Linked DNA regions of Medicago truncatula. The protein of the gene in region 3 binds, or shares a complex with, the protein of the main gene of each other region. Links are inferred from orthologs where the notes say so. Each region holds a gene or a part of one and is shown on either strand. Other genes may lie near its edges.

Evidence for each region.
Region 1: pheophorbide a oxygenase, chloroplastic (region 3) and chlorophyll(ide) b reductase NOL, chloroplastic share a complex: the UniProt entries of both Arabidopsis thaliana proteins name them as parts of the SGR1-CCE-LHCII complex. The link is inferred for Medicago truncatula from reciprocal best matches to the Arabidopsis thaliana genes ACD1 and NOL.
Region 2: pheophorbide a oxygenase, chloroplastic (region 3) and pheophytinase, chloroplastic share a complex: the UniProt entries of both Arabidopsis thaliana proteins name them as parts of the SGR1-CCE-LHCII complex. The link is inferred for Medicago truncatula from reciprocal best matches to the Arabidopsis thaliana genes ACD1 and PPH.
Region 4: pheophorbide a oxygenase, chloroplastic (region 3) and 7-hydroxymethyl chlorophyll a reductase, chloroplastic share a complex: the UniProt entries of both Arabidopsis thaliana proteins name them as parts of the SGR1-CCE-LHCII complex. The link is inferred for Medicago truncatula from reciprocal best matches to the Arabidopsis thaliana genes ACD1 and HCAR.

What each region holds. Positions count from the first base shown.
Region 1 is NC_053049.1:16,823,080-16,830,227, forward strand, and holds the start of chlorophyll(ide) b reductase NOL, chloroplastic, read right to left. Parts: upstream 3,003-7,148; coding exon 2,759-3,002; intron 1,789-2,758; coding exon 1,720-1,788; intron 1,084-1,719; coding exon 1,022-1,083; intron 926-1,021; coding exon 839-925; intron 280-838; coding exon 212-279; intron 135-211; coding exon 86-134; intron 7-85; coding exon 1-6. Other genes in the region: DExH-box ATP-dependent RNA helicase DExH3, read right to left, coding at 6,482-6,955, 7,079-7,148. UniProt on the Arabidopsis thaliana protein: Required for chlorophyll b degradation. Chlorophyll b, chlorophyllide b, pheophorbide b and pheophytin b can be used as substrates. Belongs to the chlorophyll catabolic enzymes (CCEs).
Region 2 is NC_053044.1:11,853,809-11,861,066, forward strand, and holds the start of pheophytinase, chloroplastic, read right to left. Parts: upstream 3,004-7,258; 5' UTR 2,842-3,003; intron 2,620-2,841; 5' UTR 2,603-2,619; coding exon 1,868-2,602; intron 1,282-1,867; coding exon 1,055-1,281; intron 815-1,054; coding exon 623-814; intron 543-622; coding exon 386-542; intron 1-385. UniProt on the Arabidopsis thaliana protein: Alpha/beta hydrolase dephytylating specifically the Mg-free chlorophyll pigment (pheophytin), yielding pheophorbide. No activity on chlorophyll. Belongs to the chlorophyll catabolic enzymes (CCEs).
Region 3 is NC_053045.1:28,997,276-29,004,932, reverse strand, and holds the start of pheophorbide a oxygenase, chloroplastic, read right to left. Parts: upstream 3,011-7,657; 5' UTR 2,928-3,010; coding exon 2,490-2,927; intron 1,921-2,489; coding exon 1,685-1,920; intron 1,371-1,684; coding exon 1,244-1,370; intron 106-1,243; coding exon 1-105. Other genes in the region: uncharacterized protein, read right to left, coding at 6,404-6,530, 6,618-6,700. UniProt on the Arabidopsis thaliana protein: Catalyzes the key reaction of chlorophyll catabolism, porphyrin macrocycle cleavage of pheophorbide a (pheide a) to a primary fluorescent catabolite (pFCC). Works in a two-step reaction with red chlorophyll catabolite reductase (RCCR).
Region 4 is NC_053042.1:17,899,648-17,907,336, forward strand, and holds the start of 7-hydroxymethyl chlorophyll a reductase, chloroplastic, read right to left. Parts: upstream 3,011-7,689; coding exon 2,950-3,010; intron 2,699-2,949; coding exon 2,529-2,698; intron 1,535-2,528; coding exon 1,423-1,534; intron 182-1,422; coding exon 97-181; intron 1-96. UniProt on the Arabidopsis thaliana protein: Probable iron-sulfur flavoprotein that converts 7-hydroxymethyl chlorophyll a to chlorophyll a using ferredoxin as a reducing equivalent. Catalyzes the reduction of a hydroxymethyl group to a methyl group. Belongs to the chlorophyll catabolic enzymes (CCEs).

The DNA.
Region 1 (7,148 bases), on a different chromosome or scaffold from region 3:
TATTGCCTAAATAGAAACTAAACATCCATGCATAACAGAGCACCTACTTTATTTACAGTGCCTCTTACATGAGAATATATTTTACCTCTCGACAGCATATCATCAAGCCAAGTGTGTTTGTTGTAACCACCTCACTGCATGCACAGAATTAAGAATTTCAAAGAAATAAAATGTAAGAATGATATTTAGGGTGCAAGGTCTAGTGACTCACATAAGATCCTCATCTGATGCTTCGGCAAGTGGCTTGTAGCTATACGCATTTGATCCAGCATTATTGATCTACACCATTCTCAGCATAGGCCGAGAAAGAAAAGAATTAGTAAAGTATATTTTAACAAACACATTCAATAAGATTAGGGAGTTAAAACAAATGAAATATTGGTATAGCTTTGTGTTATCAAATGCGGATGGTGGATAATGGTGGAAAGCCAAAAATTCATCACTCTAAGCGACCATATTCACCATAAAACGCCATGGTGCAGCAATCTGTAACAAATTGGCCATGGCTGTTATCAAAAAACCCTCCACCACGATCCACCATGGCCATAATTGACAACAATGATATAGCTACGAGACAATTTCAAATTATAAACAGTGTAAGAATTGAAGGGAAAGGGGAGAAGGAAGGAAAATCGCTGATGCTAAGTGTAAGTGATGATGATTGTGAATCTAACTACGAAAATAAGATGGCCAGAATTTCGCTAAGATCGTCAGCTTACATAGTAGATCAATCAAACCATGAGTTTATCAATGAGAACCAATTAAATCCTCGCAAAAAGTTTCTACTCATATTGCAAAATAAAAATTTCAATGGGAAAAAGAAATCAGACATTAGTACCCATATATCAATGTATTTCAGTTTTTCTTTAGCAAACGAAACTAGTTTCTTCACATCCTCTCCATTTTTCACATCACATGTAGTGCCCTGCAAGAAACAAAATGCGAACATGAGAACATAAAAACGAGTGATATATTTATCGTAGATGGGTTTCTACTAAGATAGAAGTTCAAGAGGAGGTACCCACACATGCTGCTCCCCAAATTCTTCTCTCAAGCTCTTGACTGCAGTCTCTACCCTTTCATCTATAAATGAATACCAAGGTATATAGAGAAAACAAAAACAAAGTCATGGAAATGAGATAAACAAGACTGTGAAATCCCAACCACTCAGTCATAATTCACAAGGTAAATTGAGACAAACAATAACACAAAAGTGATTGGTGCTTATATTTTTATACCAAGTTAGTATCAAATCATTATCAATCGTATTACACCGAAATCATATTTGTTTTCATTCTTCTCCCTTTTTTTCCTAAAACCCATAACTTAAATAGAAAGAAAATAAAACCAGCATTCAATTTAGTCCCTAAACTATGAAAAAAAAGGTAGTTCATATAGAATATAAAATTCGTAAGTTTACTTCCTAAAGTATATGGAAACGGGAAACTGTGAATTTAGCACCAAATATCTTACGATCAAAGACGAAATTGACGGATTCTATATACTTTACGAACTATTTATTATATTTGGATAGTTTAGGAACTAAATTGATAATTTATCCAAAGGAACCAAGGGAAAGATTAACAGAAAGATCAATCATTGATGAATCGATAGCAGAGTGATATACATATAACTTGAAGTGATATTGAAGTATATAGCATGAACAAATAAACAAATGCATAGTTGAAACATAATGAAAATCCAAGAAGTTATCCACACCTGATCTTGAGCAAACTAAAACGTTATCTCCTGCTTTTAGAAACTCTTTCGCCAAAGCATACCCTATCCCTAAATCATAAGGTAAATATGATTCAAGGTAATTGTTGAAAATGAGCAACTAAAGTGCAAGCAAAACTTACAAGTTACAACAACAACGAAGCCTAATCCCACTAAATTGGGTCGGCTACATGGATCAAACTATAAACTATATTTCAGTCCAACTCATTAATCTTTATATCCTTCTTAATCGTTTCTCTTATAGTTTTTCTAAGTTTTCCCGTGCATCTAGTGATTTCACTACCCTTCATCTAATATACTCTCCTTACTACAAGATCTACAGGTTTTCTCTCTAGTGTATGTTTGGTTCTACGGTGACAAGAATTGATTCAGACTAAAAGTGAGTTGAAGGTAAAATGATTTGTGTTTGAATACATTCATGTAAAAGTGATTTGAACAATAAATTTGTGTTTAAAAATCAATTCTAAAATTAAAAACTACAAATTCTAGCTTCAAATACAATCAACTCTGAAGGCAAAATCAATTCTACTCGATAGCATCCAATCATGTCTGAATCAATTCTACAACTTAAAATCAAATTTGGCCTCTTTAGAAGTAGAACCAAACATACACTAAGTTTCTGTTTGGATTGACTTAATTTTGAGCTTATTCAAAATAGCTTATGCAAATAAATAAACTTTTATATTGATTCATAAGTTATCACTAACGAAAATTGTATCTTCATAAGCTGTTTTTTCATGAACTACCTTAGACAAACTTATGAATAATACATACAAGCTTATTTATTTGCAAAAATTGTTTTGCATAAGCTAAAAAATAAAACAATCCAAAACAGACTTAAATTGTTACCTGAACTCTTAATCTAATATTGCCATTTCTAATCTTATCTCAACTATTTTACATCTGAATAGGATATAACCATGTACATATCAAGATTTTACCACTCACTGAATACTAACACTTTCATTCAACCATCAAAGAATAAATACAAATAAATTTAAATTATCCAAAAAGAAAAGACCTTTGGTTGAGCCAGTAATCAAAACGTTATAAGGAGGAAGCATGGTATTGTCGTTAGAAGAAGCTGTTATGATGAGAAAGGATGAAGAAGTTGGTTTAGTGAGAGAAAGAGAGAAGCGGTTATTATTGTTGCTGTTGGGGGTGCAGGAAGTAAATGTCGTGTTGAATTTAGGCAGACGAGAGAAGGGAGAGATGCAAAGCTGATGAGAAGAAAGCAATTGAAAGGAAGCCATTGATGATGCCATGCCAATTCACTGCTACAGCCTCAACACTTCCAATTTTCTTCTATTTACTCTTTTTATTTTTGCGGATAAAATCATTCAAATTTTGATTATTAATAAGTATTGTTTAGTCCCCATCAGCTAACTCATTTGTTAAGGGATAATGCACAATATGTGCAGGGGTCGGTGTTCGAACTCCGGACATCCTACTTATTCATTTAGCCACTAGACTACTTGATAAAAAAAAGAATAATAAGTATTATTTATGACGTTTTAAAAGTTATTTTTTACAAAAAGTTAGTTTTTATGTTTTGAATGTATAAATCATAAAAAAAAGTTAGTTTAAACTTTTTTATCAAAAAACATTTGTTAACATTTTCTTTGTTTATGTATAATGATAGTTTGATTTTCTTTTCGATTATACCTTTTAAGATGACAATTATATTAATAAAGGAGGATATGATTATTCATCTAAGTTGACACCAATGAAAATTATTTATTTGTCTTCAATGTTTTACTGGATAACATAATAGTTTTATTTTTTATTTTTTTTAAGGATGTATAACATAATAGTGAAAGACAAATTAATTATTTTGATTGGAGTCAATTGATAATAATTCATATGTGTCATCTCCACTCAGTTTTGTTCATTTGTAAATAAGAATTTACCTTTATTTAAACTAGGGTTAAATAATATAAAATAATACAGAAAATACAAAGAAACATGGAGGGACCTAACCTAAATTTAACCATCAAAAAGAAAAAAAAATGATACAAATATTATTATCTAGGGGTGTTTGTAGTGCGGTTTGAATCAGTTATGGACCAAAAATTCGTTCGATTCAAATAATTTAAATAGTCGTAATGCGGTTCGGCTTGGATGACTTCTTAAAAACTCCGATCCAACCCAATTTTATGCGGAATAATTTTGATTGGATTTTGAATATTCAAATTACAATTTCGTGAAAACATCTATTGAAAATAATATTTTAAATTTATGATAAAATCAATGGTTTGATGCAAAAAATAACTTATACTATACTAAAAAAATAACAATTATGAATGATAATAATAGTTAATGTTTGAAATAGTAAAATAATAATAGTTAACTTCTAAGTTTTTACTCAAAGAAAACAACAAATAATAGATTAAAGCGATATATTATTGTAATTGAAAAATAAGTATTGATATTTATGTATGTGATTCGGTTTGGTTCGATACAAATTCAAATTTGGCAGTTTTGTGTTGTTTTCGATCTTTTTCGATAGATTTGTGATTTTGAATTCCCCTACTTTACTCTAATTACATATAGTGTTAAATTTATTTTTTTGTCACTATAAATATACACTTTTCATTTGAGTCTCTATGAAATTTACAATCACAACTTTTGGTCCATATTTTTTTTTTTTTAGCACAAGCTAAAATGATATATATTAATAACACCGGCTATAACACCCCGCACAAGGCGTGCAAAAAGTGGAATTTCGAAAAATATTTACAAGTACAAAATGCCCAAACACAGGCACCACCCTACCACAAATCACAATAATTCAATAAAGGACCCCCATACAAAGAAGCGGGTGAGTCCACCAATCATACCAGTTAAAACTACAGTATTTAAAATTTGCTTTCATCCAAAAAAATGAATAACGCTTAACATTGTCTAGTAAACCGTGAGAATCGAAAGGCTCGTTTTGAAAAATGCATTTGTTCCGATTCTGCCAAATAACCCAAGCGCAAGAATACCAAATTCCTTGCATAAAAACATGAGTGCATCTAGGAAGTCCCGCCATGAAACAGAAATGCTTGTGATGATCATGTAACTCAAGGTGGCGCGCTGTTTCCGTCACGTCACAACCAGCCGTGCAAGAGACCGCTGCCGGATGAAGAATATTTCGTCGTAAAAGATTGTCACGAGTCGGAAGTCGATTACGAAGCAAACTCCAAACAAACAACGAAACCTTTGTCGGAATAGACTTATGCCACACATTGTCAACGAAGCTCCTATCCACCTGATGACCATTATTAGCAACAAATCGATACGCCTCTCGTACAGTGTAACCATGAGTAGTATCAAGTGCCCAACACCATTTATCGGTAACATTAACCTGCAAAACAACGTTATGTAATAATATGGAGCACTCCCGCACACACTCCTCCTCCCAAGCAAACAGACGACGTCTCCACAACCACGCCCGACCATCCACCTCCCACCCCTCCCTCTCCATCTCCGCCACCATACACTCCTTATTTACAGCCAAGTCAAAAAGTCGAGGAAATTTAAATCGCAAAGGCATTTCTCCAACCCATTTATCAAACCAAAATAAGGTAGTAGAACCATCTCCCACAACCCGACGGACATTACCTTCAAACCAATTTCCTGCACCCTCTCCAACCCCCCCCGCGGATATTACAAAGCATCCGCCACCAAGGCGAACCAAATCTACCCCCTCCTTCAGCCGGCCCCCCTCCTCACCATATTTTTAAATCAACTTATGTATTTTATTTTACCAAATTGTGCATAAATGTATTGACAAATATGAATCAAGTAAAACGATTTTGATGTAATATTATTTTGATGTAATTTAATCCCTCCTCTGCTACTTCAATTCAATGTGCAATGTAAAGACAAGAAATCAATTAAACGATGCCATGCGAAATGGAATTGGGAAAGCAGTTGTCAATTGATACGCTTATGTACAATTTTTGTTTGTTTATAATTATTAAATGGCCCACATAGGTTATATTATTTGAAAGAATAAGATTAAGGGTTAAATATGTTTTTGGTCCCTATAAATATATTAACTTTTCGTTTTAATCCCTCTAAAATTTTCCTTCAACTTTTAGTTTCTCTAAAAAATTTTGCATGCTTTGATGTCATCGGACCGTAGAGTTACAGCATTCTTTGATGTCGAAGCACAAGTTACCTTGGTTCATGCTAGCTGACTTATCAGAGCAGCATAGCACAAAACTATTGTGAGGTCTGGTCGCATTCGAAACAATTGGAGAGTTCACTAAAAATTGAACCAACATTTTTTTTTTCAATTTCTTTTATCATTTTTTTAGAGGTTATTTCATCATTTTATGTCTTTGTTTTCTTGACTCAATATTACCCAGTACAAAACAGATGTTACATATCTCATCTAGCAATATTAAACAAAAAAGGGAGACGACTTATTGCATCTATAAGATGATGACCCGGTACAAATTATATAAGTAACTGCCAAAACTGTACCTACCATATATAAATAAAAAATATAAACATTAGTGTACATAATGGTTACAAAATATTTTGGATTTGGCTTGAAGGAGACGACTAAGATATTCATTCAATCAACCTTTCAAGTGCAAACCAAATGCCAAAACTGGATGCCCTTTCAAATTCAAAAAAGGGAGAAAATGAGAATAACGAAATCAGGAGCCACTAAATAATGCCTAGGAGAAACTCATGTAGGACACCAGAATGGGTAAACTAACCTAAAAAACGATCAATTGATAATAATTCAATCAGAACGTCGTTTCGATGATTTTCTACGCTTCCCTAGGAGTTTTAACATGTTGTCAGTGACATCAGGAGGAGATTTATCGTCTTCAGGCTGAGCATTGTCAGAGGTGTGAGTTAACCAAGCTAATGCCTCTATAGCTGCATCCCTTTCTGCAAGTTGCTTATTCCTTTTCGGTTTGCCAACAAATTGCATTCCTTTAAACTCTACCAATGCCCTGAACTCATTTGTCTTCAGATGTTTTGTTTTATATTTTGGTGCGGAGTGCCCTGCTCGCATCAAAAGTGTTTGCAGCAAGCTCTTGGGGTTTGTTCCATCTTTAGTGAATTTATTCTCGTCGTTAGAGGCCTTAGGCTTCCGGCTGTCACGACCAAACACAAATCTTCCTTCACACTGATCCCCTGAAACCAATTCTTGAACAGCAAGCATCAAATACTTCCCTTCCTTGTGAATGTCAATGCCTGGATCTTCTAGCTGCATTATTATAAAATCCATTATCATTCAGCATTGTTTTGTATTGACAAGTAAAGAAGGAATACAATTTTTTTTTTGAAGAAGAAAGAAGGAATACAATTACAACAACAAAAATATGCAAACCTTCTTTTGGATAAGCTTATCAAGTTCGTCCTTAAGCTTCAAATAGCAGTCAGCTAAATTAGGATCCAGA
Region 2 (7,258 bases), on a different chromosome or scaffold from region 3:
GACACTAGTCACGACATGGACACTGACATTGCTAATAATTTGAGAAAATCACATAATTCAGTGTAATTATGTGTCGGTGTCAGACACAACACGTGTCCGGCATCGGAACACGCCTAATCCGAGGAGTGTCTGTGCTTCATAGACTCAATAGCAGGTGGCCCAACAGATCTTGCATAAACTCTTTTATGATCTAAGAATTACAGCTGAGCTTAACCGCTTAACATAACCCTACAGAATTAGCTTGTAAGATGAGGGATGCCTCCAACTTACAAATTCATTTTCAGGCCTAACTCGTATCCAATGTGCGGCTCTTAACATATATTGCACTTAAAAAGAAGCAAGAACAGAAAGAATTGTTCAAGTTAATAGGTCAGGAATTGCATACCTCAGGGACTTCATCATGAGGGCAGTGACCAGCAGGGCTGATTTGATAATATGGTGCTTCAGGAACCTTCCTTTTAACCTGAAGTCCCCATATAGGTGTCACCCAAGGATCTTCTTTTCCATACATGAGGCAAATCGGCACCTTGTTCGCTCGACATCTAAAACATACACACCGCAAAAACCATTAACATGTGTATCACGTATATCTAATACTAGTTAAAGATTTAGTCGTGTCTACCTTGATAATGTTTCGCTGAAGGATAATTCCCCTTGGGGGGCAAACATAATTGAAGCAAATGAGGCTGCCGCAGCAGGATGTCTTGTGGTTTCGATTATGCGTGAAAAAACGTTATCCACATTTATTGAATGATCTGCGTAAACCTGATTAAGTACATCGGCAATACTTTTCGGATCACTAATTTTCTCCCACCTAAAGGAAACAAATTAATAAGAATCAGGTAAAATGTAATAGATATGATAAAGGGCACCTGGAGGTGTACTATCAGCAGTATAATATCACTCAGATGATCAACTATTATATTCGCAAATGAATGACTATATTGGCGACATACAAGAAATGTACTAATCAGAAGTTCGCAGCTAAAATACTAAATCATATCAGGAACTAAGAAAAAAACGAAGCAATAAATAAAAATGAAGCCATACTTACACCAACTCTGTAAGTTTCTTTATATTTGAAGGTAGAGGGAATGTTCCGGCCCATGGAAATACTTTGGCAAGTCCAGGAGATTTTACTGGATTTGGCAGAAACCCCCAAAAAGGTGTTGCATTAAGCAATGTCACGCCTTTCACTAAATGAGGATAGCATGCAGCAAAATATAAAGCAACGTATCCTCCTAGTGAGTTGCCTACAATATAGACCGGTTCACCGATGACCTGAAACGAATTTGTATAATAACATTTAGATTATAGTGATATAAAAACTTCCTCAAATATTATTTTTGAAGATAGTGCAGAAAAGTTCAGCAACATTACATATTTGAGTAAGCATTATAAGTATAGGAAGCATTAAAGTGCTGATGATTACAGACAACATTATTTATGGAATACAAGAGTACTTCTACATCGATTTACCTAACCTCGTTTGGATAAACAACTTAACTAAGCGTTTATAGCATAGATTCAAACTGTATTCATATAAGCTATAAGCTGTTTCATAAGCTATCCTAGAGAGCTTAGGGAAATAGGCTGAAAACAGTTTATAGATATGTCATAAGTTGTTTTTATAAATTCTGCCAAACAGTCTCTCAAGTGCTTATGCTAGTAGATAATCTCAAATAAGTCAATTCAAACAGAATTTTCTTTTTTAGACAATAATCCAGCATAAGTTGTTAGAAAAAAAATCTAAAACCACATAGGAACAAGCAAATTTGCCAAGAACATTTTCCAGTATACTATTTGAGCAAACAATGGATTAAAATAACTAAATATTTGCTGCTACCAAACAGTGCAAGTCATTTACCTCTTCAATGAAGTACCGAACTTGATCTTGCCATAAATCAACCGAATACACAAGCTCATTCGCCCATGGTTCAGTTTCATCTCCAAAACCCCAAGGCGAAACATTTCCACTCGATGTAACCCCTCCTTCCTTAGACGAAGGAGCAGGATCTTCAAAAGGCAAAGACATTCCTTGTCCTAAAAAATCCAGCGCCCAAACTCGAAAATCACGACCTAAATCCATCAACTGCTTCTCATAATGAAAAGAACCAACACCGAAACCCGGCAAAAATAGAACATTTGGAGAATCCAAATTTTCACAACCAGCTTTCTCATAATGAACATTCAATTTAGGTTTCCATCCCTTAAAACAACTACGTATAACCGCACCGGATTCACCGTTTGATTCATCCGGTAAACCAGGAATCAAAACCTTTGAAGCAGGTACATCAACCCCTACAATATCTCTTCCTTCACCTTCATTAATCACATAATCACCATAACTTCCACTATTAACCTTAAATTTGAGTCTTTTAGAGCCTTCAAAAACACTTTGTGACCTAAACCCACTTTGTTGATTACCCTTATCATAAAATCTCAATGACCCAATTGTGTAAAGATTATTGATATAAAAACCTCCATTTTTTCTAATATAAAAAACCCTTGATTGAGTTGAATTCGAACTATTTTTAACTGATTTTGTCTTTGTGTTCATAACTTGACAACATGGTGCAGAACCATATGAAAGAGTTTCCATTTCTTAGCAACTATGTTCTACAGAAACCAACAACAGAAAATGATTCAGTATGCTAAAAATTCAACTTGATTTTCACAAAAACATGAACAAAGTAATATGAATTTTTTTAGAACAAATCAAATATTATATGTGTTTCATACACAAATAATTGAAACTAGAAAAATTAGTTCTTCAAACATCAATTAAACATGAACATGTGATAATTAATAAAAACATGAACATGTTTATGGAAACATTACCTTAAATTTAGTGAAAGAAGAAGCATGAGAATCTAGAACTACTCAAAGAATCTGGTATATATTAGTTGTTATAGGATTAAGAGCAGATCCAAAGAGAGATATACAATAGTTTAGAGTTGCTTGGAAGATTCTACTTCCTCTATGAGCCAAGAAAAACCGAATAATATATTTTTATGAGTTTAATTTATACACACTTACACACTTTTTTTTTGGTATTTATAAAATTTTGTTTAATAAATGCATCTGATAAATATAATTTATTTTCAATTTATTAAAAAATAATAATTTATTTTCTTTTCATTTTAATAATAATTATAAAAAAAGTCAAATAGTTTATTAAACTAAAAAAGACTTACTATAATATTAGATGACTTATACAAAATTTATTTTAAAAGTCTATTAAATTTTAAATTAAATTTAAGAAAAAATTTATCTAAAAACAGTTAGATGAGATGATAATATTTCTCTTTTAATTTAATCAAAGTTCATAAATTTAATAAAATTTTTCATTTATTACAACTTATTTAATTCGAATGATTAATCTCTATAGTTATGCGTATAAGATATATCCAATTTAATTTTTTATTATTTTTATATAAATATTGAATCTAAAATTATATAGTGGAGCGATGATTAAGTATTCCTTGTATTCGTTAAATGAAGAGATTAAATTAACTACGACTTTTTTTAATATAAAGTTAACCATGTTTTTTTTGGAGCTGATTATATATAATATATATTATATATAACTATGCTGATGGAGTTGGATGAAGAAATTAAGTTAAAATGAGGAACTTTGTTAATTTAGTTAAGAAGAAATCCTGAAACCTAATATTTTAAATTAGTTGATTAAGAAATTAGTTTAAAAAGAAAATAAATTAAACTAGCTTCCATGTTCGAATATTAAGTCTTCTATTAGGTAAATATAATTGTCTTGCAAACTGAGAAAACATGTGATAAGTTTGGTTTTGTCTTCTACAGAGGAATCATCCCCACAACGCACGCAGTTTGGACAAAATTAGACAGAGCCAAAGTTCTACCCACCACCAATATTTCATATTGGCCACACATTAGTTTTGATTTATAGTACACACGTGTCCAACATGGTAGGAATTCAAGTGTATGATTGATAGAATGCTACCGATGTTAGAATCACTATGATCCACCACGATTTTTCATAAGGTAAAAAGTGTAGTTTTTGGAAAATAATGATGGATCATTGTAATTCTGATATATTTATCGATCATTGTGATTTTGACATACTCCATCTATTCCAAAGTATAAGTAAAAATTGGTCAATAAAAATTAGGCTTAATTACCTTTTTAGTCCTCTAACTATTTAATTGGTATCGGATTGATCCTCTAACTAAAAAATAATTTATTTCGATCCTTTAAGTTTCTCATCGTTACTACATTTAGTCCTTTTTGATAGTTTTATTCAAATAAACGTTAGAGTTTCTGTTATGTGTGTCCTCTAACTTTATTTATTAGTATCATTTTGGTCCTATGCCTTGTTAAGGTATTATGATTAAATAGTGACTGATATTATTGGTAACTGTTATGGTTCATATGTATGTGTGAAATAGGAGGTCAAGTGCCCACATAGCATAAACCCTAACGTTTATTTGAATAAAACTAACAAAAAGGACTAAATTTAGTAACGGTGAGAAACTTAAAGGACCGAAATAAATCATTTTTTAGTTAGAGGACCAATCTGATACCAATTAAATAGTTAGAGGACCAAAAAGGTAATTACGCCTATATAATTAATGTATTTGATCCAAAATTTGTATCAAATACATCAACATATGTTAATTCATTTTTGCTTATATTTTGAGACGACAATAAATAGGTTTTTCAAAATAACATAGCTTACAACACACATTTTTGAACGCATCCAATCAAATTTATATGGGACATACAAAATTTAGTAAGATCTAGGTAGTAAATTTTAGACTTAATTGCGGATTGGATTCTCATATTTTCACCATTTTGGAGAATTGATCCTCCTATTTTAAAATTTGACAATTTTGATACACCCATCAATTATTTGGTCTAATATATCGTGACATAACATGTTTAAAATGATATTTTTAAGGAATTTTTTTAAAACTTAATTGATGTTGATTTTCATCACTAGATCATATATCACGACAAATCCACTTGGGTTAGTCTGATGATATTGATTTGTAACCTTAGAGTGTGTTCTTTCTCATGGTCACAACTTCGATTCTCTCTGGTATTTTTTATTTATTTTTCGACAAATTCTCTCTGGTGTTAATTTGAGTGAGCTAATTATCTTCTTTAAACAAAATCATATGCCAAAATTATGAGTTTTTTAAATATGGAGAACAATTCTGCAAAATAGTAAATATAGATGGACTAAAATTGTAATTATAAAAAATGAAAGTGTTTGAAAATGTATGTCAAAGAATATATTTTTTAAATCCTAACTGTGTTTTTGCAAAAGTTCACTCTTCATTTTTTTTTTTAGCTCGGTATCGTGCCCGTACGCGGGTTCGTTGGGCTGCGTCCGTGACTAGTAAATTTTTGTAAGAATAGATTAGGACTGGTCCTCTCGGTACGGTTTATTACGATGTATTCCTGTATAGATTGTACTTGGGTCAGGTCTCATGCCCCCCAATCTTTGTATCTTTCTTTTTGTTTAATATAATTTTTATTTTGCCTAAAAAAAAAAGGTATGTCAAAGAATGTGATGTTAGTACTCATTTTTTCCAAAACAGCAAGTAAAAATTCAAGAGTTTTTACGGTGAAAGCTTTGATAATCTGTAGTTCAGATGTAGTTCAAATGCTCAACAATACGTGTATTGTAAAGTGCGTATCAAAGTGTATAGACAATTTATTGTAAAGTGTATTGTAAAAGTACGTGTTAAAATATGTCTAGTTAAGATGCTCAACAATTTATTCTTAACAGAAGTCGATTTATCACTTAAGCCTGTTTGTTTTGGCTTTTCAGCATCAAGAAGTGATTCTACAATTATCAAAAGTGAAAAATTGAGTTTTCAATGGTGTTTGGTTTGGCTTTTAAGAATGATGTAGGATTTTTACATCTCATAAAACTATTTACACATAAGTATAATAGGATCGTTATAACACCCCGTTTTCCCAACATAAAATTTCCATTTAAATAATCAGAGTATTCATCATAAACGGAATGTCACACTTCTTTTCTTAAAACATAATTGGAATAATTAACTAATTTTCCTTCAAAGTTCAATCAACATAATATTCAAATCATAATCATCATCATATAACAATATAAGTCATCACATCATAAACTTCATCTTATAACAACATAAACAACACATCATAAACTTCATCTTATAACAACATAATCAACATCATAATCATCATCATAAGCACTTCGTTAACGACACATGGGTAAATAGCAACTTAACAACAACGACACAACTTCAACTTAACAATGCAACTTAGACTTCTTATTCATCTTAGACCATCTCAAAAAAATGCAACTACAACCTCTTAATCATGCATGTGGTACCAACCATGGCATCAAACCCCCAACATATTGAGCATAAATACACTCCCATGGCATCAAGCCCTAAACTTAAAGAGCAAAAGCTCACATGGCATCAAGCCCTCAACGTATTGAGCATAAATACACTCTCATGGCATCAAGCCCTCAACTTAAAGAGCAAAAGTTCACAGAGCATCAAGCCTTCAACGTAAATGAGTATGCATGGACTCAACAACTAATGCAACAACAACCAACAACTTCAACGACATCGTCAACAACTTACAACTTTAACGACATTGACAACAACTTACAACTTTAACGACATTGACAACAACTTACAACTTTAACAACTTGACCAACATATGCAACTTAATGATTTAATAATCAATACAGCAGAAACATCAACATACTACAACTTCACAACATAACATCATTAATAATAACAACTTGAATGGTATAACAACATTATTTTCTATATCATACATTTTCCACATAAATATATGTAACTCAAATTATTCAACAACAACATTCACATAATATATGTATTTCAAATTATCCAACAAAGATATTCACGTCAAACCAAATTATATCTATCACAACATAGGTTAAATACTCTTAAACACCCTAGTTGAACTCATAGTACTTCTAGTTTTGAGGTTTGGAATTATTCCTTAAGTTTTGGATTAACTTAGACCTCCTTGGAGTATTTTCATCATATCTCAAGAGCCAAAAATCATTTTCACATCAAACCAAAGCCACTGGAAAGCTAACTCAATTATCTACAACTTTCATGTTTACACCAAAGGCCAATTCAAAACAGAAACGTGTGAAAAAGACGCAAACACATGAAACAGGACGTGCTGTCAGAGAGCAACTCGGGAAAAACTCACTTTTCACCCCCAAAATCTCAATTTTAAC
Region 3 (7,657 bases):
GGAACTGATCCGTGGGTTCCCTTCATTAGCTCCTGAAAAGCCCCATGAACCACGTGAATCCATCTTGAATGGAAGAGGCTTGGCTCTGTCTCTCCTTCCTGTAACCTATGGCGTATATATCATATTTATGTTAGTGATATCGATAACCCTAAAAAAACAATATTAAATCATTTCAACTTTTGGAACTGCTTATATTGATAGCGTCTAAATAACACATATATGCAAAATGATTGACAAACATTGACAATCAATCTATAAGTTTAACAAATCCAAAAGGGAATTTGACTGTGCAGCATAAATCATTAAGACACAATACTATTGTGCAACAAACTTGCACACATCCATCTCCTATGCTGCCTCACCGTTTTTTTGCTTGCACTTCCTCTCCCACATCGATTAGTCTGGAATGCACGATGGTGTATTTAAGTTGTTTGTTTTTTTCCCCTTAATATCTAGCATTCAAACAGTGTCTTAGAAAGGGCTCCAAATGGAGGTGCTGACCGGAAAGACTGAGTAAAGCATCGTAGAAAGCAGCCGCCGGGAAATCGGCTCTCATCATGGGATGCTTCACGGTGGAGTTTCTTCCTTCTTGATATCTAGCTTTTAAGAGAGGGTTCCCCAAGTGCTTGGGTATTTATTAACTTCACTTTTGGTTTACTAAAAAGGTGCGAGAGGGGGAGCCTTGGCACAACGGTAAAGTTGTTGTCATGTGACTGAAAATGTTACATGTTCAAGTCATGGAAACATCGTCTTTTCTAAAAAAGAAGGTAAGGCTGCGTACAATACACCAAAATGGTGGGACCCCTTCCCGAACCCTGCGTATGCGGGAGCTTTAGTGCACAAGGCTGCCCTTTTTTTCTTTTCTAAAAAGGTGCAATCGAAAGTGATTATTGGAAGAAATGAAATAAAAAATTAATTAATTACAAGCATCTAGTTTCTTATCCTCAAAAAGCACTGTCCTTGACTAAATTCTTAATAGCGCAATATAATGTTATTTTAAGTGAAGATATATAAAATATGTTGAGCAAGCAGCAATTTCAGTGAGAGAAAATATATAAAAATGGAACAAACCAAAAGGCCCTCCCTTCACAATTTTCGGACCACATCGGCATCACTTAGTATATTTAATTCAACAAATTCCACTTACAATAATATCTGAATAAAAATATTATCAACAAGCACTCTGTTTGAATATAAAATAACCTGCACACCTAAAAGTCAAGTTGAAATGTATCATTAGTACCTTGTGATGAGCAAAATCAATGTGAGAAGGATCAGAAACATTCTCCATGAGAGTATCATAGCCGTAGAAAAGATCGCGCTGAATGTTCACCGTTGCAAACTCTGGTTTTACAAAGTCATCAGGCAACCTGAAAAACACAATTTTACCATGCAGATCAATAAAGGTACACAACAAACATTTTAATATAACATAACATTTCTAAGTGGCCCAATCACAACAATTTTTCTAAGAAACCAACGTAATTAGGGTATTTAGGTCGAAACATTCTCGTCAATTTAGATCATTGAACCCATTATGGATTAATATCCACTCAGGTGCTTAAGTTGTAGCTTAAGCACTCATTGACCAACTGAGTCACACTCATTGCATCAGTTACTACAAGTTAAACAAATTAACAAATATTATTAATTAGACTAAAGACATAATTAAACAAATCATTACATTGGAGGTTTGGATGCATTTGCTTTCTCCCAACCATTCTCATCAGGCCAAACAAAGAGCAACCCCTGAGACACCAAGGTAGGAAACCTAGTAGCACAAGCTCTAGGAGACCCAACAGCACGTGCTTCGGGACCTTCAGGTGAAGCCTGAGGGATCACAGTGCAACCTCCACGTCCATCAAAAGACCACCCATGATAAGAACACTGCAAGTTTCCACTTTCATCTATCCTTCCTTCCTGCAAAAACCAACCAAATCATAATGGTCAGTTTACATTGACTTATTTGAGCTCATCTATTGGCATAAACACTTGTAAGAGCTTATGAAAAATCACTTATTTGAGCTCATCTAGTTGCATAAACACTTGTAAGAGCTTATGGAAATAGCCCCTAACATGTTTATAAGTTGTTTTCAACTTATTTTCATTGGTTCTTCAGGATAGCTTGTGAAAACAGTTTATAGCTTATATGAAAACAATTTGATTTCATCTTTTATTATTGAAATTGACTTATTTGAGCTCATCTACCGGCATAAACACTGGTAAGAGCTAATGGAAATAGCTTGTGACATATTTATAAGATGTTTTCAACTTATTTTCATTAGTCCTTCTGGATAGCTTATGAAAATAGCTAATCGCTTGAAAGAAAACAGTTTCACTTTATTTTATCTTTTCTTATACAAATAGCTTATACATAAACACTTATACGCTATAAATGCTTAATTAAGCAGTTTATCCAAACATGGCCTAATTCAATTTCCCTCTAACAACTTCAAATTCAATGTTCAACAACAAATAACTAAACTTACAGACAAAGGAGCAAGACGATGAGGACATTTATCATCAAAAGCAACCCATTGAGAATTAGCTTTATCAAACCAAATCACAATTTCACGACCCAGAAGCTGAAACGGCGTAGGCAAACTAGAATCCAGATCTTCAATCAAAGAAACTGGGTACCAATGATCTCTCCATGAAAACTTCGATGAAGAACTCTCATCTTCAAATTCTTCATCAATTTCGTTCTTTTCAGCTTCTGGGTACGATTCAGTTTTTGTGGGTGGTGCTGCAACACTTCTAACTGTTACTAAAAGGTTTCTTCTGTTTCTGTTTCTGGGTCTTGTTGAATTTGTTAAAAATTGTGACTTTTTTGTGAAGGATGAAAAGAGAAACGGTTTTGGTGGTTTGTTTCTTGGTGTTGATGATGAAAGTGTTGCTAAAGGTGAAAGTGTGGGTGAAAGTGCCATCAATGGTGTTTTTTTGTTTAGAAGTTCTGAATTTGTGAAGTGTGGAAGAAATTTATATATATGAACAAGAATTGTTTGAGACGTGCAAGTTTCTAATGTTTCTCATTTTATTTATGTCTTTTTAGTTTTCAGACAAATGTTTTGTTCAACAGTGTCACTGTCAGACCAGTTTTTTTCTGTCTAATTTTTCTGCTAATGAATCAATCACTGTAAGAGTAGTTGTTAATGTTGATTAATTGATGTTAAACTGTGGAGTTATAGGAAATTTATTGGAAACAATGAGTGAAAATATTGTCAAATTTTGTTGTAATGTTTCAATCTAATTTGGTGACAAATTTCAATTTTATTATAGTTTTTAAAGAAAATAAAATGAAAGAGTAACGTGGCGTAATGAGGAACGTCCACACAAGTTTGAAGAGTGTTCAAAGGTTGATGCAGGTATTGACAAGTAATGCATACATTTTTGGTACCTGTGGACCAGGGATTTGGAGGTATCGAGTATCTACTTGTACAATCCAACACGTTAACACTTGTATAATCTAGTCATCTAGACAGTCATTTTGGAGAAAAACAATGGGAACCTTGTAGTGTCATATAAACGTGGCTTACTACATGTTAATATTTGTATTTCTGTCCGTAAAACTTAATTCAACTGATAATATTCATACTTGTGTTCGAAGTTCTTGAATGTGTCATGCACTCATGTGAAACTGTTGGCACCGCCAGTTGTGGTTGTGACTTGTGAGGCACCAGTCATGTTCAAGTTTGATTCCACTTTGTAACACCGCTGCATGTATTTGGTGATCAAGGAAGGGTTCATACCTACCTATACATGTGCTTATTGCACAAATTTCCAAAATCAAGTGTGTTCTTTTTCTTTTCCATGTTTCATAATCGAATTGAGTTCTTATAAACATGATGGTGCTTTTGGTAATCACGTCACAGTATAATCTAATCTTGCATGGGAACGTGAAAAGCAAAATATTTGGAAGGTGAGCTAAAAAGTTCTAGAACACCAGTCTCATTACAAAAACAAAAAAAAATTGACCAAGGAAGGTCTCAAACAACTCATCTCTAAAACTAGCTAATAAATTTTAGAAAACTAGTCTCAATATTTCAATCTCCACAACTAATCTCTAAAGCGAAGCACCTGTAATCATACATTTATATGTTTGTCTCATACAAGAGATATATAATTAAAATTGCATTTAACCCAAAGCAATTACTAGTACAACTAGATGACTAATGTTGGGTTGGGGAAACTGTTTTATTTCAAATGACATGGTATTTATTTCCTCTGATGTCATATGATAATAGAAAAAGTTATGCTCATAGTTTAGACATTGTCTTCATCATCAACTCCTTTGGCCTTTCACACAGTTACTGCAGTTAGTCCAGTCCAAAAATTTGAACCATGAAGCGTAAGCCTCCTTATGTTAGTCGCAACCCGCAACGACCGTGTAAGTGACCGTACATATTCGGCATATTTTCTTCAGTGGCACGCATCTCAGCCTCCGACACTGAAGCATTTACCCATTTTTGGGTCTGCGTTTCTGCAGATTGGACCTGGTACTTTCCTAAGTCCAGCTCATAACAGAGGACCTATTCACCCCAATTCATGGTCAAAGGTCACACAATCTTGAGAATCGTAATCGGCATCGCACAATTCTCTCGAATTGATTGTATAGAATCAAATTTGACAAACCTGAACTCAAACTACACATTTTTCCACAGTAAATATAATTTCATTAGAATATATTGAAAGATCTTTACAATAAACTAGATAAACTTGGTCATGAACAGAGCTAGACTAATCTCTACTTCCTACATTACCTGCTACACCAACTAGAGCATGAGCCACAACATCTTTTTCTGTTCTAATGCTACTTACTCCAGTATTTTCCAATTCACTAAGCAGATCAATACAGTCCAATGCAACAAAATCTATCTCAACTATCTTGTTAACTCAATTCAGAATTACATACACTTCTCAAGTAAGCCATGTTCTCCTCCTTAACACTTCTCAAGTTAGCCATGTTCTCCTCCTTAACCCACAGTACGCACCTCCTAAGCCTTAATGTCAATGGAAGGGTGGTGGGAGATACTTCAATCTTCTCAAGTTTGCTGGTTGCGACCAAAGAACCGCTACCAAATCGCTAGAAATAATTCCCCAACCAATGGAAACATTTGTAAAACAGCCTGCATCAACACGTATGTCGGTAAATCTCAGGGCCAAGGGTCTCCGATTTTGACTCCAGTTGCCTTGTGGACACTTCAGGGCCAAGGGTTTCTGCAGACTGGACCCCTGGACTTTCCTGAGCCCAGCTCATAACAAAGGACCTATTCACACCAATTCATGGTCAGAGGTCACACAATCTTAATAATCTTAATCACAGTCACACAATCCTATCAAATTGCTTGTATAGAATCAAATATACAAACCTGAACTCAAACTACACATTTCTTTTACAGAAAATCCAGTTTCATTAGATTGAAAGATCATTACAATAAACTTGATAAACTAGGTCAGCAACAGAACTATAGACCAATCTAGAGCATGAGCCACATGCCACAGCATTTTTCCCTTCTAAATTCTAATACTACTAACTCTAGTCTTTTCTAATTGAATAAGCAGATCAATACATCTAATATTAACAAAATCTATCTCTGCTAACTTAGTAACTCCATTCAGAATCACTCACATTCAATTCTCAAGTTAGCCATGTCTTCCTCCTTAACCCATTGTAGGCACCACCTAAGCACGGAAGGGTGAGAAACGCTTCAATCTTTTCAAGTTTGGTGGTTTCAGAAAACACATCCCCTGCATAATCTCTAAAAATCACTCCCCAGACAATAAAACCATTTGTAAAACAATCAACATCAACACTTATCTCGGTTAATCCGATGCCTTGTAAACACTTCAGGGGTCAACTTGTTCACAATGTTAAATTCATCTATGATACGAACATAGATGCAAATGCAGAGGAACCCTTCACATCATCATAAGCTCATGCTACCAACGAGCTTAATACCATTTGAACATGCAACACAATATTCATTTACAATCCGATAACATCAATATTATAACAAATGAATCTACAGCGAAGCACAGAAAGTAAGAACAAAGGACTAGGGTTCTAATATAATACAAAATCATAAATACAAGAGTTACAAAGAGACGAGCTTGTTTAAACCCATACAAAACCTTTTTTAACTTACATACTTCCCTCGCACTCGCATGTCTGAGCTAACTTTTGAGAATGAGATCCAAACCCATTTAACATATACACATGTCATAATTAAATAACAACATTCATCTTCTTTTTATTAAAAAAATCACCGTTTGCGAAATAAATCATACAGATTACAGATTGATGAACCACCTATACTCTAAGTTAGTTGCATGACTTAAAATTCAAAATTACAAAAACCACTAAAGAAAACACGAACTTGATCTCAATAAGGGTCAAATTAATTCACTTCTTCTTATAAGTTTCATGATCAGGACCAATATCACGTGACCCAGTATTAATATAAGGTCCTCGAAATGTTGCTTGTGGTGAAAGTGGCTTTGTTGGATCAATTACCGGTTTCTTCGACGAACTAAAAATCCAAAAATTGCAAATTATCAATTCAAATTCATCAATATACATAAAATCAAAATTGCGAATGAAATCGAATTTAACTTACGCCATGTAGAAAGGAAAAGCCATTCCTGCTGAAGCAAAAGCAAGTAATCCAGCAGCAACCACTAAATTTCGTCTTCGTGACATTGATGCAAAAATTCACAAACCCTAAATTGATTTTTTGAGTGTTAGAATAATCTTAATGATGATAACGAAATTATAAAAGTTTAAAGATTAGGATAAAATTCATTAATTACCTTTAATTTTATACTATTGTTTTGAAAATGGTTTGTTTCAAAGTTAGGTTCTGGAAGAACCCATATAAGCTTTTGCTCTTTTGAGAATGGACCGGGTTTTCTTTGGTTTCAATATGGGAAAATTGCTTTTCTGACATAGAATACTTCCTATTGACATAAGTAAATGACATTTTTACCTCCAGTGGCAGTTAACTGGCGTTAGGCAATGCGTCGGCAGTTAACTGATGCTGGCTTCCAGTGGTTGTTAACTGCCGTTGTGTTCGTGATATATTCAAGTCATTAGCCATAACCCAGACACTCACTCACTCCATCATCACCTTCACCATCTTTCTCTCAAATATTCACTAACTCTTTAAAAAACTCTACCAAATTATCCAAAATTTCTTCCACTAAATCACAAGTAAGTTATCACTTATGCTATTGTCATACATTTTAGTATATGTGTTTACATGTTTATAATTTTAGTGGTCGTTTAATTATTAAATTTTGAATTTTTGTTTTTAATATAGTTATGTTGTAGATTTGAAATGCTATTAACATATATTATGAATACCTATTATAATGAAGTTATATTGCTAGGGTTTATGTCAAATTTTCACTACAAGTGTTTGAATGAGTTTTTCATTGATTATTTTTAATTTCTTATTGTGTAGATTTGAAGCAATGGCCAGGTGGATCGACGTTCATGCACAATTCAACGACGGAGAACCTCAGAGGTTGAAGGTTCGATGCCTTGGTGTAACGTTAAGAGGTCTCAAGGATGAACTGATTGAATTCAACCAAGGAGTCAACCCTGAAGACACAAGGAGGGTAGAACACGTTCGGTATAAACGTCCAACGTTCGACG
Region 4 (7,689 bases), on a different chromosome or scaffold from region 3:
ATCAAAGTTAATTACACAGAAAATAAAGTCAGATTAAAGAACGAAAAGACACTAGAAATATGACTCCAATAAAAACATGTAGATTTTTTATGATACCTTTGTACACAGATAACAGCTTCAACCATGCCTGATTTAAGCATTTCAATTGCAATGGTTGTTACTATACCAGTCCATTGAGCTCCTATGAACAGAACGAATTTTACAAGTAAAACTGTTCATCAGAACTTTGATAACATGACTATGCCCATCATAGACATAATTGTATAAATAATTTAATCAAGAAATTAGTTGCAACTGCAGGACATTTCGAAACACAATTTCATTGTACAAGACAAGTAATTCTTAAAGAGCTGTGCTATTGTGCACGACAAAATCCACACACGACAGGTACGACTGTTTACATGGCATCATCATCTTGGTTTAAATTAAATTTTGATTAAAATAATTTTAAAAAACTGAAATAGCTGTTGGCAGAATACACGTCGTGTGCATTTGACAACAACCATGTGTCGTGCTATATAATGTTTTCCAATCTTAAATTACAGTTAAGCTTCTGGTCTGTCCAAAAGCTCAATGAGGGCCTCTTTGCATTGATTAATTTAAGCTTAACTACTAGAATACAAACTTGCGAAACTGCTAAGAACTTATAGAAACAGTTTATGAAGTATCCATAAGCTATAAGTTGTTTCTATAACCTCTCCATGATAGCATATGAAAACAACTTATAGCTTATATGAAATCAGCTTGACTTTATTTTATCGTTTTGTTATAGAAAAAGCTTATACATAACTTATATTATAAGCGCTTAATTATGTTGTTTATCCAAACTAGGCGTTAGACATTGACATTGAAGCCTTACTCCAAACTAAATACTAAAGGAAACAGAAATAGTTATATCAATGAAACATTTCGGTGTGATCTTAATTTCTATGATCCTAAATAAATTTAGGAGGCCATCAAAGTATGCTAGGAACAAACTGGTCTTGCAACAAAAAATGGGGAACAATTTCCTGGTTTATAGAATAGTGGCAGAGCTTTGAGGGTTTTCCCACCTTTCAATGTCAAAAGGCCCGTATTCTTTCAAATGACAAGCTGATCTGTCCTCCCTATTTAGTATTTATAGTCAGCCTAACTATTCAATTATCTAAATACCCACAAAGGGATTACCTACCAATGTCACATATCAGAGAAACCATTGAAAAAATGCTTCTTAAAAGGTAAAGAATAGCCAAGAGGTCCCACTAAAAAAGCAGAACAGAATAATTTTAAATGCTTATTTATCAGCATAACAAAATTATAGTTTGAACTCTAAAACTTGAGCGCAATAAATACACTGCACTCAAAGATTCTCGAATTTGATAGTGTCATACTCATTAGAACGAGGAAGCATAAGAGTTAAACAATTTTAAAGTCAGAATATACCTTCGACAGGGTTAAGTTTCCGAGCATACAGAAGTTCCTCAAAGACACCTAAGTATGTCTCGTCTAAGGTATCAGTTTTTCTCCCTCTACCATGAACAACAGGTTCCAATTTCTGAAACAGAAAAGGAATGATAAAGAGTCCAATCAATTTTGGTTTGTATAAACTTTGTCATTTTCTGGATATATTTATATCAGTTATGAAAATTCTCATGATTAATGCTTATAAGAATATTAAGGCAATGCTTGAATTAGGCATACAATAAATGAAGTTTAATTTAATGCTGAAGTCACAAAGAAATAACTGCTGCATATTGAAATTTCAATTTGATATAATTCCTTATCAGCTTTGTGCAACAAAGTGTACTAACATTAACATAGTCCTGACAAGTAATCATTCAATAGAAGTGAACCATTTTTGTTGAAAAAGTAAATCTAGTTCAAATGCCAGATTCTTCTACACTAGAATGGCTGCTTATTGATTATTTCCACTAGGTGCAAACTAATTGATTTGATATTAATGTGGCTAAGCAACACAGCTTTGTTCCCAAAAATCATCACTTTGTTAGTAACTTTGTGAAATAAGCGAACATAAAACTCAAGTCGGAGAAGAAAAGGGTTCCTCTCCTTTTCTCTTTCAGTTTCAAGTCCTACTATGTTTTACACTTGGCCTAACTCATCATTACAACACTGGCCTCTTCATGCCCAGTACTATTGGACCTAATGCTTGGATAACTTTTTTTTTTTTTTGAAGTAACTAAACTAGCCCACCCAAATTGGCACCGAAGATAATCGAAACTGGGACCTTAACGAGGAGCATACTCCAAGGTCTCACGTTAACACCATCAGACCAACCCAAGTCGATATCGGATGACCCAAATGAATAGCTCTGCTACCATATTATTTTTTTTATATTAAGACTAACTCAGCCTTACAAAATCAACTTGATCCCTACATCTGACATAATGCTAACAATTACAAACAATATTAAAAAGTCCTTTCATATCACATAAAAGTTTCAAAAACAAAAAACAAATTTTTTTAACCAATTTGAAGAGTAAAATTTACATGACATAGATAAGCATCATTCATAAATTAAAGAGACTTACTTCAATTTTAGACATTCCATCTCCCAAGAAAGCACAAGCATTCTTAACATGAGCAATATAATATGTATCACACAATCCACAACGACTGCATTGATCTTTAGCTGGGTAGGTTCCACCTGGTGGGATAGGTTTTGACCTTTTCCTCCAGTCCTGTTTTGAAATGGAGGATTCTGCTACCAAAACAAGAAGGGTAAGACTGATATGAGAAAAGAGAAGTGAAGGAAGGTTGCATGCACACTATGAAGCACGGACGTTCGTCAAATTAGGCATGTCCCTGATACGGACACGCTTACACATATAATTACATTGAATTATGTGATTTTATCAAATTATTATCGGTGTCCGTGTGTAAGTCTCATGTGTCCGTAAGAGTGCTTCATAGCATGCAGAGAAAAAGAAGAGCTGGTAGGTAGTACTTTACCTTGTGATGAAGAAGAAGCACGAATAGAGAGAGAAAGAGGTAGCGAAGAGAGAGAAGACATTGCTTAGCAGTAAACTCAGTTCAGCTGAGTGAGTGAGTGAACACTGATGATGATGTGGCTTTTTCTGTTCCACACAACAAAGTTAAGAAGAAGAGGATTTCTAATGTAATAAAATTCAAAAAAGGCACAATAACATTTTGGTCTTTTAACAAAATTTTAGATAATAATTTAATTATTTATTTATTTTATTTTATTATTTCCTTTTTGATTTATTTTCATATGGATTTCATGTTTAAAATTTATGGTTTCATTTTTTTATGTTCTCTCAATCTTTAAATCTATGGTTTTTCATTTCCGTTATATATGAATTTTTGTTTTGAATAAGCCAAAATGAAATATATTAACTTATCAAAGGTGATTCATCTTGCACAAAATGTGCAAAAGAGAACACCCAACAAAACAAAGTTTGGTACAGTCTTAACTCAAAAGGTACAGCGTAATAAATAGACAAAAAGCTACACCAGCACACCCCATGCATAATAAGGATGTTGTCCCCAGTCATTATAACTGAAGGCGAAGCTGGGCATATTTGCCTTAAGCCAATTAAAAGACATAATCTTGACCCTTTCTGATAAACGATCCGAAGTCAATGACTTTTGCTGAAAAATCTTGTTATTTCTTTCCTTCCATATAACCCAAACACAAGCATGCCAGATTACTGTTAGAAAAGAATTAGCAGACCTCGACAAACCTGCCAACTGTCCAAAGTGCTGAAAGTGGTCACCAACTGTAGCTGGAGCAATAAAAGAAATGCCTACCCACCGATAAACATAGTGCCACACTGAACCGAAGACGTCACAATGAAGAATGAGATGAGCCGCAGTCTCAGAACAACCGCCCCCCCCAATGCAAGAGGTGTCATCCTGATGAGTAATTCCCCTACGAAGAAGGTTATATATTTACAATTTGAAAATATATGTGCAAATTAAGTTAAGAGAACGAAAATATAATTTGATCAACTGAAAAATAAATCAATAGTTTTAATTTTAATTTTTAATACCATACGAAAATTTTAATCAAACAATTAAACTCAAGTGGTTAATGAACTTGCTTAAAAAAAGTGGTTAATCGACTCTACAAAAAGACAATTTGTTCCAAAGAACATAAGTTTGATTCCTAGATGAAATAATAATCGACCAAACTTAAATTACTCTCGAACGCACTTCAAATTACTAGACAACTTTTACTAGAAAATCGAAGGTTAACAAAAAGAAAAAATATACCATACAAAAAATTTCTTTTCCGCACAAAGTGTTAGAGTTTGATCATGTGTACTAATTTCCTTTGTCTTTAATTACTCCAACAATCCGTAATTATAAGCTCTCTTTGAAAAAAGTCTTGTCTAAATATAAGGCTTATACAAATTATTAGATGCATTTATTATTTTTTCCTAAATATATCCCTAATTAATACAACTAAATTGCATTGGAATATAAAAAGGAAAATTAAATACACATAAACAAAGGACAATTTAGTAAAATTCACACACAAATTTGATATATTATCTACACTACCTACTTTTCTTAATATGTGAAATTAGTCAAAGAGACTTATAATAAGAGACGAAAGGAATATAAAACTAACTACTACTCCATCTCAAACTAAGTATTAGATTTTGATCATTTAAAATATGGGTCTTGTTAACGAGTTATTTACTTTGATCATTTTTATTTACTAATATACAAAGAACAATGGTGCTCCCTTTATCTTGAAATAATTGTTACAATTTTAATTTTTATATATGTCAATGCATAATTTTGACCATTAATATCTTAAATAATTTATTAGCAAAAATCATTAAAATTTATATTTTAAAAATCTTTACTATGAGAATAAAACAATATTTTATTTATTAACATTATTCTTTATATATTAATAATAAATATGATCAAAGTAAGTTACGTAAGTAGTGTACATGGTCAAACTGCAACAATTATTTTCAACGGAAGTAGTGTGTAAAATGAAAAAAAAAAAAAAAAAATTGAAGAAAAATTATGTTCTATTTATCTTAATGACTGATATAAAAATATATAAAAAAAATTATATAATTTTGCTAATAAATAATATATAAATTCAAGATTAAAATTGTACATGAACATGGTTAAAAGTAAAACTGTAACAATAATATTCTTTAAGGATTTGCTTTTATTTTAAGAAAATGAAACTATTTTCAACAAAGTGAATATTTTTCTTTTTGAAACAACAACGTTTAACAATCAAGTCTCTGCAGAAGAAAAACATGAACTAAAACTACAAAACAAGAAGTCTTATATAGATGGAACATCGAGGAAAAAAAAAAAAAACCATAACACCAAACTCAGTGCTACCACCAACACCAATAAGAAAAATAACCACCAAAAATCAAAGTCAACACTTAAGTCAAATCAAGACCCCACACTTCCTCGCGAATGACAACATAAACAAAATTCAAGCATATATTGTCCACTACTCACCATAACGCTTCAAACAAGCCATCCAACCAATCAAAACCCTCGAAAACAGAACATCATCTTCTCATCTCCACAATTGAGCTCGATTAAACACCAAAGAAAAGGCTTACTCCAACAATCCTTCAGGTTCTACCTACATTCGACCTCCGGTCCGTCAGAGAACACACCATAACAAGGCAAAAAAATTGAGTCAAAAAATTGATTATGAATCTTGAATCAAAAGCGATTGACCCACCATATACTATAGACAAATCACTAAGGCACCCCCACAACTCCCATCCTACCGGAGAAGACTCTATAATCAACCTAAATAATTGGACATAGACACTAACTCTCAATCCTGAAGCAAGAACAATCGACCCACCAAAACCTAGGAAATAATCCTTCGAACAATCTTCAAATAGAGTGGTAACCTAAACAGAACCAGATCGAAAAAAGGCTTAGCTTGAAAACTTCCCCAAAACAAGGACAACTTAAAATCAAGTCATAAACCAATCGAAAATCCAAAACCGACACAAGTTAGCAGTAACAAAGATGTTAAGGATATTTTTTTAGAAAATTATCGATTTTATAACATTAAATAAGTTCATTAATATTAGTTTCTTTTTATAAAAATTATCATATTAAAGACTATGGGGTATGCTAATTTATCCCCGCATATAAAGATCATTTACAATTTTTTAGATATGATTGTTATTCTTTATTATTTTTTTTACTAAAGTTGTTATTCTTTTTTCAATATATTTTTTATTGTCTTCAAATACGAAATCAACATTAAATTTATCTTAGCTTCCTCCATTGTAGAGTGAGGTATATTCTTTTCAAGTATTTAAGTGTGCCTGTCGGGGCATATCCTAGTAAAGAATGGACATTTGAACCTGATGTTAAGCTTATTGCTAAGAGTGTACGTTCATGGAGTGATAGGTTTGTTAATTTGGGTGGGAGGGTGGTCTTAATTAACTTTATGCTTCATTCAATTGAAATCTTCTACCTCTCGTTAATTAAGATCCATGTCAAGGAATGGAAGAGGAAAGTTTGGCTAGAGAGATGCTTCGTTTAGGGAGGGTAGAACAGGGGGCACTGGGATATCTTGGGTTTGCTTCGAGGATGTGTGTCGGCCTAAGTCGAAAGGGGGATGGTCTTGGGATTTGAGATCAGAGGCTGGTTCACCAAGATATGATGGGGAAGTGGTGTCGGAGACTCCTCTATGGAGATGCAATCATATGGAGAGATATCATTTGTGCTACGAATGATGTTATTCATATCTCGACTACTTATGGAGAGAGGGGGTTGCATGTTGTCAGCTCCCTCCCACGGTGGAAATGAGTATCGCTTTGAAGAAGTGAGTCGATGCTACTCGAATTGGTTCACTTAATGAATGGTAAAGATTTTGTATGATAGTCGAACGTATTCCTCTTGGGATAAAGTTTATGTGGGGGGATATTCCATTAAGGATGATGTTTCCTAGGTTGTTACGGTCTTTGTTTATGCTCTTTGTGGGGTTTCTTTCGAGTCTGCGTATCGTTTTTTTATTACTCAAAGGGTGACCTATAAAGTTTGGTATAGGATTATTATATGGTAAGGATGGGAGTTAGTTATACTTGGGATTTGACTTGTCTTTCTCGGTGGTTCTTTGGTTTTGATCGGAGAGAAAATATTAGGGAGGTTTTTTTGTTAATCTCGCATACTATTGGTTTATAAGATTCAATTTTTTTCGTGGTATTGATTTTTTAGGCACTATGAGGGAAATTTTCTAATTGATGTACATCCTATCACTAAAAAAAAATTATGATCCCTAAAAAAAGAAGTTTATATTGTATGTAAGACTCTATTGTGGACGTTCTTAACGTATAACTCAATCAATAAATAAAATTCTTATTTACTATAATAACTGATTAGCTAAAATGTATAACTAGTTTTTCTTAAATACATTCATAATTAATTTTCATTAACACAATCTCAACATGTTCATGATAAATATGATTAAAAATGTTCATTTTAAGTTTGAGTACTACATACCTTATCAATTCTACCGTCACATCGCGATCGTTTTTTTACTTCCCAGCTACCAAATCCATTCATTTGGGAATGGTTTTGAGCGTCCAGACTTCATTAAAGATGTAGTCTACATACATACAATCTAAACCCATATAGGGTTCGAAATCTATTAGTAAAATTTAAAAGATATAGTCGTAAACTTTTGGAGAATAAAAAGTATAATTTGAAATA